3 linked regions of the Schizosaccharomyces pombe genome follow. The protein of the gene in region 3 purifies or fractionates together with the protein of the main gene of each other region. This does not show direct contact. Each region holds a gene or a part of one and is shown on either strand. Other genes may lie near its edges.

The links.
Region 1: the proteins of stc1 (region 3) and ser1 purify together in Schizosaccharomyces pombe (affinity purification with mass spectrometry, with the first as the bait; one large-scale study listed by BioGRID). This does not show direct contact.
Region 2: the proteins of stc1 (region 3) and ebp2 purify together in Schizosaccharomyces pombe (affinity purification with mass spectrometry, with the first as the bait; one large-scale study listed by BioGRID). This does not show direct contact.

Annotation. Positions count from the first base shown.
Region 1 is NC_003424.3:3,813,610-3,817,665, reverse strand, and holds ser1 (phosphoserine aminotransferase), read right to left. Parts: upstream 1,995-4,056; 5' UTR 1,814-1,994; coding exon 644-1,813; 3' UTR 501-643; downstream 1-500. Other genes in the region: cab4 (cytidylyltransferase), read right to left, coding at 1-202; SPOM_SPAC1F12.06C (DNA repair endonuclease), read left to right, coding at 2,273-2,639, 2,726-3,117; arrestin-related substrate adaptor Any2, read right to left, coding at 3,411-4,056.
Region 2 is NC_003424.3:2,011,128-2,016,704, reverse strand, and holds ebp2 (rRNA processing protein Ebp2), read right to left. Parts: upstream 3,891-5,577; 5' UTR 3,774-3,890; coding exon 2,772-3,773; 3' UTR 2,500-2,771; coding exon of another isoform or gene 2,419-2,499; 3' UTR 2,379-2,418; coding exon of another isoform or gene 2,154-2,378; 3' UTR 2,107-2,153; coding exon of another isoform or gene 1,610-2,106; 3' UTR 1,570-1,609; coding exon of another isoform or gene 567-1,569; 3' UTR 501-566; downstream 1-500. Other genes in the region: signal recognition particle subunit Srp21, read right to left, coding at 7-196, 249-320; SPOM_SPAC17H9.06C (uncharacterized protein), read left to right, coding at 567-1,569, 1,610-2,106, 2,154-2,378, 2,419-2,499; RNA-binding protein involved in heterochromatin assembly Dri1, read left to right, coding at 5,010-5,577. UniProt on the Schizosaccharomyces pombe protein: Required for the processing of the 27S pre-rRNA.
Region 3 is NC_003423.3:3,690,464-3,693,671, reverse strand, and holds stc1 (CLRC complex-Argonaute linker protein Stc1), read left to right. Parts: upstream 1-1,756; 5' UTR 1,757-1,823; coding exon 1,824-2,471; 3' UTR 2,472-2,664; downstream 2,665-3,208. Other genes in the region: abz1 (para-aminobenzoate synthase), read right to left, coding at 1-1,109; mug30 (ubiquitin-protein ligase E3), read right to left, coding at 2,666-3,208.

The sequences.
Region 1 (4,056 bases), on a different chromosome or scaffold from region 3:
GATATAATTCACAAAGCGCATTTTGCAACTCACGAAACAAATGCTTCGTTCTTTTCTGACACATTTCAGAGCAACTTACCCAGATATATAATTCATTGCCTTTATGAATGCTAAGCTCTCTCGCAATTTTCGATATTATCGTAGAATATTTAATACACTCATTTAAGCTGCTTAGCTTAATAAATATAAGAGTTTTCCCCATTATTCGTCTCTTGAAAAGTTTTATATTTAGTTTGAAATGGTATCAGGTGGGACAATCCGATAATGTTACGACTTCCAAAAAATAATTTCAATCAACTTCTTATGAATAAAATTTGTTCTTGTAATAATTGTTGGTTAGGTATTCTGCGTACATATAATCTGTCTTAGAAGCTGATATTGTTGTTGAAACTTACATGAAGCCCAGAATGTCTTAAAACTCGTAAATATCCTCAAATCACCAAATTTACTTTTCAAGCTGCAGCTTTGATTACTGAATACGTTAATGAAGCTTTTAAGCGGTGATTTTGAAACTGACTTTCGTTAATACAGATTTTACGTTAATACATTTCTATCCTCATAAATATGATACTTAGGACCAACAGCTCCCACATCTATTGTGTTTTATATCTAAATCAAAAACTTAAGACAGAATCAAAAAAGGTTAGTTAGAGTGTGCTTTAGCAAAGGACTCTAAAAGATCAATAAGCCTACGGGTCTGCTCTACGGAAATCGCATTGTACAGAGAAGCACGAATTCCCCCTACACTGCGATAACCTTTCAATTGCACAAGATGATGTTTTTCGGCTTCTGCTAAAAATTCAGACTCAAGCTCCTGAGGTTCAATTCGGAATGTGACATTCATGCGACTACGAGCGGCAGGTTCAACCACAGATATATAAAGATCATGCTTATCCAAAGTGTCGTACAATAACTTTGACTTTTCGATTGATGATGCTTCGAGAGCAACAAGACCACCATGCTCAAGCATATATTCCAAGCCAAGGTTAATTGCATGGAGCGTGGCTACCGGAAGCGTATTGTAAAGGCTATGATTATCAGCCATAATCTTATAATCCGAAACAGTAGGGGAGACAGGGATATTGAGCTTATGAAGTTCGGCGGGGGTAGGACGCGCAAGAACTGAGTCTCTGACGAATACAACAGTTATTCCTGCAGGACCAGCATTCTTTTGTGCACCAGCAAAAATTATGTCATGCTTGGTGAAATCGATTTTTCTTGAAATGAAATTAGACGAAACATCGCAAACGCGAATAGCACCTTTTGGGATGTTTGTAGGTGGTTCATTAAATTCGACTCCATGAACAGTTTCATTGTCACAATAATAAACCAAGGAAGTTTCGCCATCAGGTGTAAATTTGAGATCTTTGTCCTCTGGTAAAGATCCATATTTCCCGGCCAATTCTTTCATATCGACTGCAACGTGGCATGGGAAGCCTAAGCGTTCAGCTTCAGCATATGCTTTTTTACTCCAGGCTCCGGTAATAATATAGTTTGCAACAAGAGATTTAGCATTGCCATTCTTGAGGGCATGGTGTGCATAAACATTATAAAGACAAGCGGCAAATTGTTCTGTACCACCGCCTTGCATAAATAAAATATGAAAGTTTTCGGGGATATTGTAAAGTTTACGAAAATTGGATTCAGCAGAAGTAACGATCCCGGAACCTTGCTTGCTGCGATGGGAAATTTCAGCGACACCCATGCCAAGGCCCTGGAAATTGACAAAGTCCTTTCCAAATTCCTCAACTACAGAGGTAATCATAGCGGCAGGACCGGCAGCAAAATTAACTACTTCCTCTCTGGATGACATTTTGTTCCGTGAGCTCAAGCAGAAGTATACTTAGAATTTAAAATAATCTGAATATCAATTTTCACAGGTATTACTCCAAAACTATTTATATGAGAGTAAAACTAATTACAATAGTAAATGTCGCCTAGAGAAATCAAAACCTGTCAACGTGATCCAATTATCAACTCCTATGATATGGGTTAAGAGGAAGTGAGTGAAGTCACTACTTCTTTTTTATACACACCGATGAGATCCCAAAAATGATAGCGTATTCGTTTACGCTTTGTCAATTTAATTCTTTTACAGTAATTTATATTTTAGATATCTCATTACATTAATTGACATTTCGCGTCTAAATCTCATATGTGGGAACTTCTACCTTTTCACTTCGTGGTTTTCGTACTCAACTCAAGCCCCAGAAAAGACCGGTTTATTTTAAATTAAAAAACACCTAAATGATTTTAAGATCAATTGTATATTATGAATAATGACAATTTGCATGATAAGTTAACGATATGGCGCCAACAGCAAATTGAACTTAAAGGGATGTTGCAGCTAATTCCCAAATTTCAAAGTTTGAATGAAATAAGATATGTTGTAGGATTGGATATCTCTTTTGATAAATCAAGTCCAAAGGCTGTCTCAGCCCTTGTTATTTATGATTTAGAACAACGTATGATTATTTATAAAGATTATTTGTGCATTGAGAAATTAGAAGAGGACTATGTTCCCGGGTTTCTTTCATTTCGAGAAATTAAATGGTATTTGCCATTGCTAAATCACATTCCTCATCAATTTCGAATTGATATCATTTTAGTAGATGGAAATGGCGTATTGCATCCTGTCGGTAAGTAAGATTCTGTAAACAATCTATTTACTTCAAGGAGACACTCTCAATGAAGGATATTATTAATTATATCTAACTCAACTTAGGATTTGGATTGGCTTGCCATTTAGGTGTGTTGTTGAATCTTCCCGTTGTTGGCGTCGCGAAAAATTACTTACATTGCGTGGGTTTGACTGAAAGCTTAGATGCACATCGTGAAACTTTAAAGAAACACGTGCTAAAGAAAACAACTGATCATCCAATATTGATTCACTCGATTGATCAATCTTCTGAGATTCTGGGCGCTGCAGTATGGACAAGCAGTAACTCGAAACGCCCAGTTTATGTTAGCATCGGTAACCAAATGAATTTAGAACAGTCTATCCAACTCGTACAGAAATGCAGTAGCTCTCATAGCAGGGTACCGGAACCGATCAGGCAAGCAGACATTTATGCCAAATTTGTCCTAAGTCAATCGAAAAGGAATAAGAAAAATTAAGCAAAATCATCTTACGAGAAACATTACTTTGTCTACTTAGATATTCTGTGAGTATTTTAATTGACGGTTTAGAATTAGATTAATCTACAGGAAAGAGAAATAAAAAAGCGGAATTTGAACAAACGTTAAGCAACCTTTAATGGAAATCCTGTTGTATCATCCAAGCTTAGTAAAGGTCAAAAAATTACCGTTCAAGTCATATAAAGATACACAAATCTTTGAAATGAAAAAACAAGCCCAATTAAAACAGAAAGATAAAAAAACAAAATTGACGGAAGAAACTAAAATTCGAATCAATCTCTTTGAACATTTGTAGGACATGAAGGTGGAGGTAGTGGAATATCAGTGGGAGAGGATCTAGCAACTTGCTCATATGCAGGAGGACTGGGTCCAACACTATTGAACATTGGGGGGCATTCCTCATCCCAACTAACACCAAGACCACCTCGTTCAGTCAAAGGTAAATTGACCTTCATCCTTAAAATTCGGGCATTCGAGTTTATGGGATGCGAGTTCATCACTTCGACGACTATAGTCTCAAGAATTAGTTGATGGGCAATATATAGAGAGAATTGTCCATCAAAGGAAACATCACAAATAGGCTTTGAAAGTAAAGATGTACTGATAGGGATCTCGAAGATAATTCTATCGCCATCTTCTTTCCAACCAGACTTATGTTCATTATTTCCCAACAGCCGAGTCTCCTTGAAAATGTATGGCTTTTTTGTCCCAGTATGGGTCGAGCAACCATTTATTTGAGCTTTTATCTGTTCTTCTATTCTCCACGAAATCTTCGTTAAGCGCCAACCAACCTTGGAGTTTTCAGGTTTTACACCGGTCAGCTGAAATTCAACAGGAACACAACTCAAAGGGTGAATTACAGGAGGCAGCTCTAAAAGAGCAATAAGCGAAGTAGGGGGGAAGAGACGCTGGGCAATT
Region 2 (5,577 bases), on a different chromosome or scaffold from region 3:
ACATACCTGGTTCAGGAGGAATTTCGTTACCTGTGGAGACATAACTAAGTTTGTTTGCAATTAGAAGTAATCTGCCAAGTTCAGCCGCCTTGTCAGTCCTATATTTTAGACATATTCCAGAAGCACTTTCAAAGGCTTTCGCGATTAAATAATTTTGACTCTGCTCATTCGTGCGATATTTGATACTAAGTTTGGTCTAAATGAAAAAAGTCAGAGTTTGATTATCAAAGATATCATCAACACCATACCGTTTTTGGATAAGCCTCCGTTAATGATTTTGACTGTGTGAAGAACTCATTCACAGTTTGCAGGTAAACCATGGTATAGTGGCTGATGGTAGGATCAACACATCAGGCATGCACCTCGTAGTGTTGTCTGAAACACAACTAAGTTATATTTGAGTCAATCGAAGGTTACTAAAATTGAATATAATTCATCCAAAAAACGTAAAAGCTTTTTTTACTATTTTTTCTACTTTTTGGTATACTATATTGGTTTTTCACGTATAACAAACTACTGAAACTATTAGTCGACAAATCTGTCAACTTAAAACATTCCCCTAATTTATGGTATCAAATCAAGACAATGTACAGAGAAATGATGTTCAAAAGTATCCGATAACTAGGTTTGTAAAGCGAAAGAGCAATGTTGTGCTTAAAAAGAACAAAGGAGCTATGAAATCGAATTCAAATTCACGCAGTAGAGGGAACAAAAAATTAAAAGAATCCCAATTTTCTTCTCGAGATAATTTTAGAACCACTCAAACTCAAGCATCTTCGTCAAGTGAGCCTAGTGATAACACGAACAGACTAGTTCCGGTGGTAATTATTGATAATAATACTCCAAAGAAAGAAGAAAGCAATGCCGAAAAGTTAAAGTTAGATAAAGATTCTTCAAGCGTTAATTATGAGAACCAAATCAGCAAACCGCTTATTACTTTCTCCGATATTCACGAAACCGTCAACGTTCCGTTTCTTTGTTTAGACAAGCACGACTCAAAAAATGAGGTTGCGATTAATTCACATGAAGATTCGCCTGTATGTCTTGAAGATATCACCGGGTCACTGTCATCTACTTATGGCAACGATAGTTTAGGTGAATCCAACTTGGAAGAATTACCCACTAGTGATAAAATAAAGGGAGAAAACATGGGAAGTCGAAAGAAACGAAAAGGATTTGTCATTGATTCGGAGGATTCCGACACTGGAATTCCAAGAGAAGAAAATGTTACGATTACGAGAAAGACGAAGCTGTCTTCTAATATACTATATTCCGATTCTGATACCGAGCGACAGAGCGATTCTGGTTCAAAAAACGTTGCAAGACAGTTTTCTCGAATAAAACGAAAAAGGAAAGTTTTGAGCTCATCTTCTGAAGATGATGAAAGTTCATCTCCTGAAGATTTGTTGAAGCCCATAATTAGATCAACAGAAGAAATGGAGAATTTAAATGAATTAGAACAAGAGGTTCAAGATTTGGACCCTATTGATGAAGGTTTCGAAGAAAAAGTGCCAAGATTTCGAAATCCTTCGAAGAAGGCATTTTATGAAAAACTACATAGTTTAAGAAGTAAGTAATTTTTTTGTTCTTTTATTAACGAATAATTAAGATCGAAGTTATAGCAAACTTGAATCTCTGACTTCCGAAAAATCTGATACATTGATTACCAAATCTGAATTGGCTAATGAATCAGAAGAAGACGATTTTATAGTGGATGATGAGGATACAGAGGTAATGATGAATGCTCGAAGTTTACTTCCTGCAGAGTTTTCAATGACAAGTCATCAAGGTTTAAAAGCACACTTTCGAAACTTTATGATGTTTATAGTTCAGCAGGCTATTGATCCAATAGACGCTTCTGATATATCTGATCATTATTTGTTTAGCCGTCGAACTATTCGTAAACAGTTATATTCATCAGTTGATTCGAATATCATCTCAAGCATTTGGCAATCAGAGTTCATTAAACTAATCAAGACTGTACCAAATATGAAAAGTGCCAAGATCGATGCTACTTATGGCTGTGATGCATGTAATATTCACACCAGAATGTCAACGCAAATTGTTTATTTTAAAGGAATGCCTTATAATGAGCATAACTATAAAGTATGAATTGATTTTCTCAACACTAGCGGGCTACTAACTTTCTAAAGGAGCTAGACAGTTTTGAACCGATCACTAAAGAAGCGTGGATGCTAGGAAACAGTTGCTTTAATCGTGCTAGAATTGCACACAGCATATATCATTGGGAATATAAAGTTAGTCGACATATACAAGTTGAACTCAAATTTCGTGAAGCTTCTAACACTAGCGAGCAAGGAAAAAATATTGTTGAAAGCATATATGAGGATCTTAAGGATTCAAATTTTTTTGAAACGGTAAGTATTCATGAGATATTTATTATTTCTAACTGCTTAGACCTGGGTGGAACTATGCAATTTATTGAAACTTGCAAGTTCTTCATTCGAATCTAATTTCCATAGCCGTTCCTCAATGTAATCTAGAAATTTAGTAAAACAAATTTAACCGATTTGGGTAAAACGGTGCAAGAATTTGATATTTTTTTAGAATTTATTGTGTGATCGGCTCTAATTGTATATTACATAATTTAATATTTATAACTGTTCATTTTTTTTGCAAAATTCTTGTTGCTCTTCTTATAATATATCGCCTTCAAACTCGACTGAAGTACGAAACATACCTATTGTAAAGAAGAAATAATGATATTAAACCTAAGATATAGTTATTTATAGACCCCTTATAAACCCCAATTATTTTCTAGCCTTTTCACGTCGCGCCTTACCGGGACGTTTTTTAGATTTAATGTTTTTAAGACCTTTTCTCCCAAATTCGGTAGCAGCAAGACTGTCGAGATCATTGCTTTTGCTGCGATGCTTTGGACCACCAAATCCATACTTTTCATTTTTCTTTTGTCGCTTCGGATTAGGCTGTGGCCGTGATTTCGTACTACGGCTACCTTTTTTAAATGTATCGGCAGAGGCTGATGAAAGAGCAATATCAAAGTCATCTTCAGTGGTAAGATCTCCTCCAGTATGCTTTCGTTTGAGAAGGTTAATTTTTTCGAGGGTTTCCTTTTTTTCCCGTTGACGCTCTTCTTGTTTAGCAAGCTGAACTTGTTTACCAAACTTCTTGAGTTCTCGTTGTTTCTTAGCTTGCTGGGATAGTTTTTTAGCGGTTGCTTCTTTAATCAACTCTTGACGCACTTTCTCCATGTGGTCATCGGACTTTAACATTTCCGCAAAATAGTCATGAGGTCGGGAAATTAGAACATTCGCCTCACGAAGTTTGGCAAAAGCCGCCTTTACAGAGCTCACACCTTGTTTATAAAAGGCCAGTTCACGGGCAAGATCATCCTCAACATTTTCAATTATTATAGGCTCCTTAGTAGTAACAGCTTGGTTTTCAACAAACGAAATATCATCAGGATATTTAATTCGTTCATAGATGTTCTCTAGTGCAACAGTGTTATTTATAGCTAATTTTCTTTTTCTAATCAAATCAGCGTCTTCTTCCAACTCAATTCCTTCAAGATCAGAAAGTTCAACTTCATCTGATCCCTCAGATTCGTTCTCTTGATCAGCTGTATCAGCTGTTTCAATAATAGGAGATTTAATGGTATTGATCATTTCTTTCTCATTTAATGCCTCAACAGAAGTAGAAGATTCATTGCTTTCCTTGTTTTTCTTTTCCTTCATAGCAGCTTTAGCTGCCTTTTTCTGAGCTCTTCTTTGCTTTGATTCTATTCCTGCCATCGTTGTAGTCTAGTGTGTATTCTACACAAAGCTGAATTTGAATATTTTTCAAAGGTTTTGAAAAATTTGCTTTGTGCTACTTTGATTAATACAATCTACGATTAGGCTAACGGTGACAAAGATTTTTACTATTGCAGTTCACATCAAATAATAAAGAGCACATTTAGAATCGCTAAGCTGATTAACGTTGCGTTATATTACTCTTAGTCTTCATTTAGGTTGTACGGAAGGCATTTAATAAATCCTTAACGTAAATTTTAACCCTTTATTTGTCCGTATAAAATTCGTTGTATCAATTTTAAGCTATAACTTGGTCGCATTTTATCGATTGTAGAGTTATTGCTGATAAATTTATGTTTTGCTACATTACACCAACTCTAATTGAAATGACGGTAATTTAGTAAATTATCAGTTGTGTAAGTAAATTACTATCAGCTTTTTTATGTAGCAAGATGTACAAATACTTTTCAATGGATGGCTTTTCAGTATAACTTTTCCCTTGACTTCCTGATACAATTGTCAAAATAAACAACAGTTCTTTGATTGTTTACGTGGTTACAAAAAACCCCGGTATTGTTCATAAGATGTAAGCTACGCAGTTTGGTATCTGATTTAAGGATACGTAGAACTGCGGTGAGTTTTCCTTGTGATCTATTATATTACAATACACAGGTTGTATAAGTAGCAACTGAGTATAGGTATTGTATTAACTGGGTTATAATGTTAACTATCACTAATATAGCTCATAACTGAACTGAGGAACGAGGTTCAGCAGTAGCTCTATTTATAGTATTCAGATAATATTGATCTTAATAGATTATCATTAAGATCAATCTCCATATCGTATTATACATGGTACGATATATAATTAGAACATGTGACATATAGTGATACTCAACGTAGTGTAGTATTGCTGACATAAGAATACCAAATGCTTGATGCGCTAAATTATGGTATAATAATTTATCGTAAAATTTTCATTTTCATTGTGTTTCGAAAGTATTGCTAAATTTTCTGCTTTGCATGCAAAAGAATCCCACAACAATACACGATTCGACAGTAACATCAGTTGTACATATTATTGTTCATAAAAGATTTTTCTCCTTTGAATAATTCCGCTTAGGTGGATTCTAAATCTAGATTTGTTACTTTTGTGACTGTACTTGTGAGTGACAAAGAAAAACACCAACGGGTTTGTAGCTTTGCAATATCATGTCAAAGCTACCAAGTCCAACAATGCCTCTGCCAGAATCGGTAGGCGACTTGGTTGTTTTGCACTTTGAAACAAATCTTGACGATCACGGCATTAGCATTGGCCGGGCGCCATGTGAAATTCATGAAATATGCTGGGTTATATTAGATGGAAAAACTTTGGAAAAACAACACTGTGAATCGTGTAGTATTCGTGAAGATAGTTCTCGTCATGGAATTTGTGGTTCTGCTAGTTCCTTAACTGAAGCTATCTTCACATTGGATAATTCAATCCAAGAACGATTAAACTTCCAAGGAAAACCTTTTACATTTGTTGTTATGAATGGAAGAGAGCTTCGTGTATTATTGCCAAAAGAAGCACGGGATCAGGGAATTACGCTACCTTCCTACATGCGCCATCCTCGCTTGTTTGATTTATCAAGCGAATACGCCAAGTGGCAGATTCGCATGGGTGCAGTACCACCATACACAATAACGCTTTCTCATATTTTTGGTAAATTAGATGTCGACTCTTTACCACCTATTACAGAGTCAAAAGCAATTGAATTATCACCTTCAGATGCTCCTTACATAACCAAAGGTCTTACTCAAT
Region 3 (3,208 bases):
GTTTGTTGGAAGTCCAAAGGAAAAGAGGCATTTGAAACAGACTTTGTAGATAAATCACTACATTCGTAACCAATGATACCCATAATTCCGCCGTAAAATGGCAAATTGGTATCTGGCTTAATTGCTTTATGTTGATTCATGAAATCAGCCACTGTGGACCACAAATCGTTGTTTATACGGACAAAGCTATTATCCTTGCAAATTCTAATCTCAGTAGTATTCGTTGCTTTCTCGTAATGTATAATTCGTGCCAAAGGACCTGTTAAAATTCCAAGTATAGAATATCTCCCAGGTTTTTTCGCTGAATCTAAAAAGCAAATTGGATTCCCGCTTTTTTGAATACAATCAGCTAACGCTAGTGGTTCAACCCAAGGGATTTCAACACTGTGAATTTGAAGAGAGGGAGAACCACTTTTAAGAATGAATGCAGCCGGAGAAATATCATACCGATTAAGATTATGCGAGAAACCATTTGCTGATTTTGAAAAGGAATTGACACATTGTATATTAGGAGTATCTGCTAGAGAAAGGAAATTTTTGAAAATTTTCAAAGATTTTGATGACCCAACGCTTTCAGGATGATAAAGTATTCCAAAATGTGGAAACTTTGTAGCCTTAATAGACATAACTATGTTATCTTCATCCGATTGAGCTAATATTTGTAAAGAATCGATGGGAATTTTGTTCGCGTACAAACTGTGGTAACGCATTCCTTTAACCGCTGAAATTCCATCAAAAATGAAAGTTTTTGAAGTAGTTACAGATGACACACGGCCATGCCAAGGAAGATTAGGCATTCTTTCTATAGTGGCACCGTGGTATAAAGCTAATGACTGAAACCCCAAACAAATGCCCATTACTGGGATATTTAATTGCCAAATACGATTCAAAATAGAAGAATATTCGGCAGGATGTCCAGGGCCCGGTCCTACGACAATGGCATCAAATTGAAGTATGTCTTCCCATAAATCAGGACTCATTTTATCCCAATGAACAACAATAACACAGGCATTTTCACTTGCTTTGTAAAGTAAGTCATAAAGGTTAAAAGTGTATGAGTCATAGCAATCAATTAATAAAATTTGTAAACGGTTTGAAATTTCACTCATGATAGATACTAATCAGCTAAAACGACCTTAGATTTACTCAAGAAACATTAATTTTTTAACGATATGATTGAAAAGAGAACTCTGGTATTAAGAGGTTTTAACTTTTACAAAGTAGCAGGAGTAGGAAGTGCGCAAATTAAATTCCAGTTTCCAATTTGTTTAGAAGCTTCTGACATTCTTCGGGATTTTACAAATCATACAATTCCATTTAAGGTAGGAAAAGTGTAGGCTATCTAAAGTTTTATTATTCCGTTTATTTTCAAAGAATAATTCGCAATCAAAAACTTGAAGGCGAGAATAATAGAATGGGAAGCAGTATTTATTTTGAAAACAACCCTTTGAATATGTGCAATTTTCATTGTCAATAGAACATGAAGCAATCAACAAATATATGTATTCTTTTTTGCTTTAATATCATTGATTCACCTATTAATCGAACCGAACGGTAGTAAATTTTATATTAATGCATTTACAGCCTGATCAGCGTAAAGATCTCAATGACAATTGATAGGACGGCTTGTATTACTGTTTTTTTTTTCTAAATCCTGATTAAGCCTGTATGTTTCTTCTATTTGGTTGTCAAGGCTATCACATTTTGTTCATTAAAGGTATTGTCTACTTAATGCTTCTAACGTCAGCAGCTAATTAAAATTATTTCAGTACATATATTCATTTATAAGAGTATTGTTACCATATTAATAATAATAAAAAAATATGGATTTTAAGAGTCGAAAATATAAAATTAAAAAGCATCCGAAGGATTGCAAACTACATGCTAAAAAATACCGGGGTACATTGAATTCAAAAGGGAAAAATGATAATGATTGTTTAATTATGTGTATGAGATGCAGAAAGGTTAAAGGGATAGACTCTTACAGCAAAACTCAATGGAGCAAAACGTTTACATTTGTTCGTGGGAGAACGGTTAGCGTTTCAGACCCAAAAGTGATATGTCGTACCTGCCAGCCCAAACAGCATGATTCAATTTGGTGTACCGCTTGTCAACAAACTAAGGGCATTAATGAATTCTCTAAGGCACAAAGACATGTCCTGGATCCACGATGTCAGATATGTGTACATTCACAAAGGAACGACGGTGATGATAATTTGGAATCTGATAAGTTCGTTGATCCTTTCATAGGTGATGATTCTGACTTAGACGATGATATCTACATTCATGATAAACAAACCATAAACTCAGAATACGCTGACGATGTTTCTGATAATACTGACGAAGAGCGAACTGAAAGCAAGGGGCAACAGGAAAGCAATTCAGCTGAAGAATATGATGATGATGACTCTGATGAAGACAGGATGGAAGAGATATTTCAGCAATTCAAAAAAGAAAAACAAATTGTATAGAGACACGTTTTATATTCATCCTTATTTGAATTATGTAAAGATTTGCTTACGATCCCATTTTATATGATAAATTATAAAGGTCCATTAGTGCTAATGTAGACCTTAAAATATGTTGAATTTAATTTAGATCTTAAATAAATAGATATATGTATATAGTAGTAAAAGGTAAGGAATTGCGAACCCTGATGTAAACACTAGCGTATATTGAACCCATTAGTTTCAAGCAACGCCGTGTCTAATTTTTTTTTTAACTTTTCCCTACTGGAGTATTCCCAAATACATAAGTGATTGAAGCAAGTATGAGAGATAGGAAGTTGATCACTGTCAGGTCCGAGAACTGAGATTCTTAATTGAAAATTATGTGCCCCAGTAGCGGGAATGCGATCGCTTCCTGTGACGAAAATGAGAAAAAGTTTTTGCATTTTTAGCGAATAGTGTGATATCAAATCCCAAAACCAAAGTATTATTTTTCTTTTTGATACGAAAGAGTGGCAGAGATATTTAGATGCAGTCATACTTGGTTCACTTTCAGATATAGAATTTGAAATCGCATTTTGGTCATAAAAATCATAAACGCAGACATTTTTGAGTAGCTCCCAGTCAATAACTTCTTCACTTCCTCTGATCAACTTGCTGATTTCATTGTCTTGAAACAACGATATGGCGTTACCTCCACATACTTTCATAAAGCCATCGAAAAAAGCAGAAAATTGTTTTTTTACAGTAGTATTTAAGAG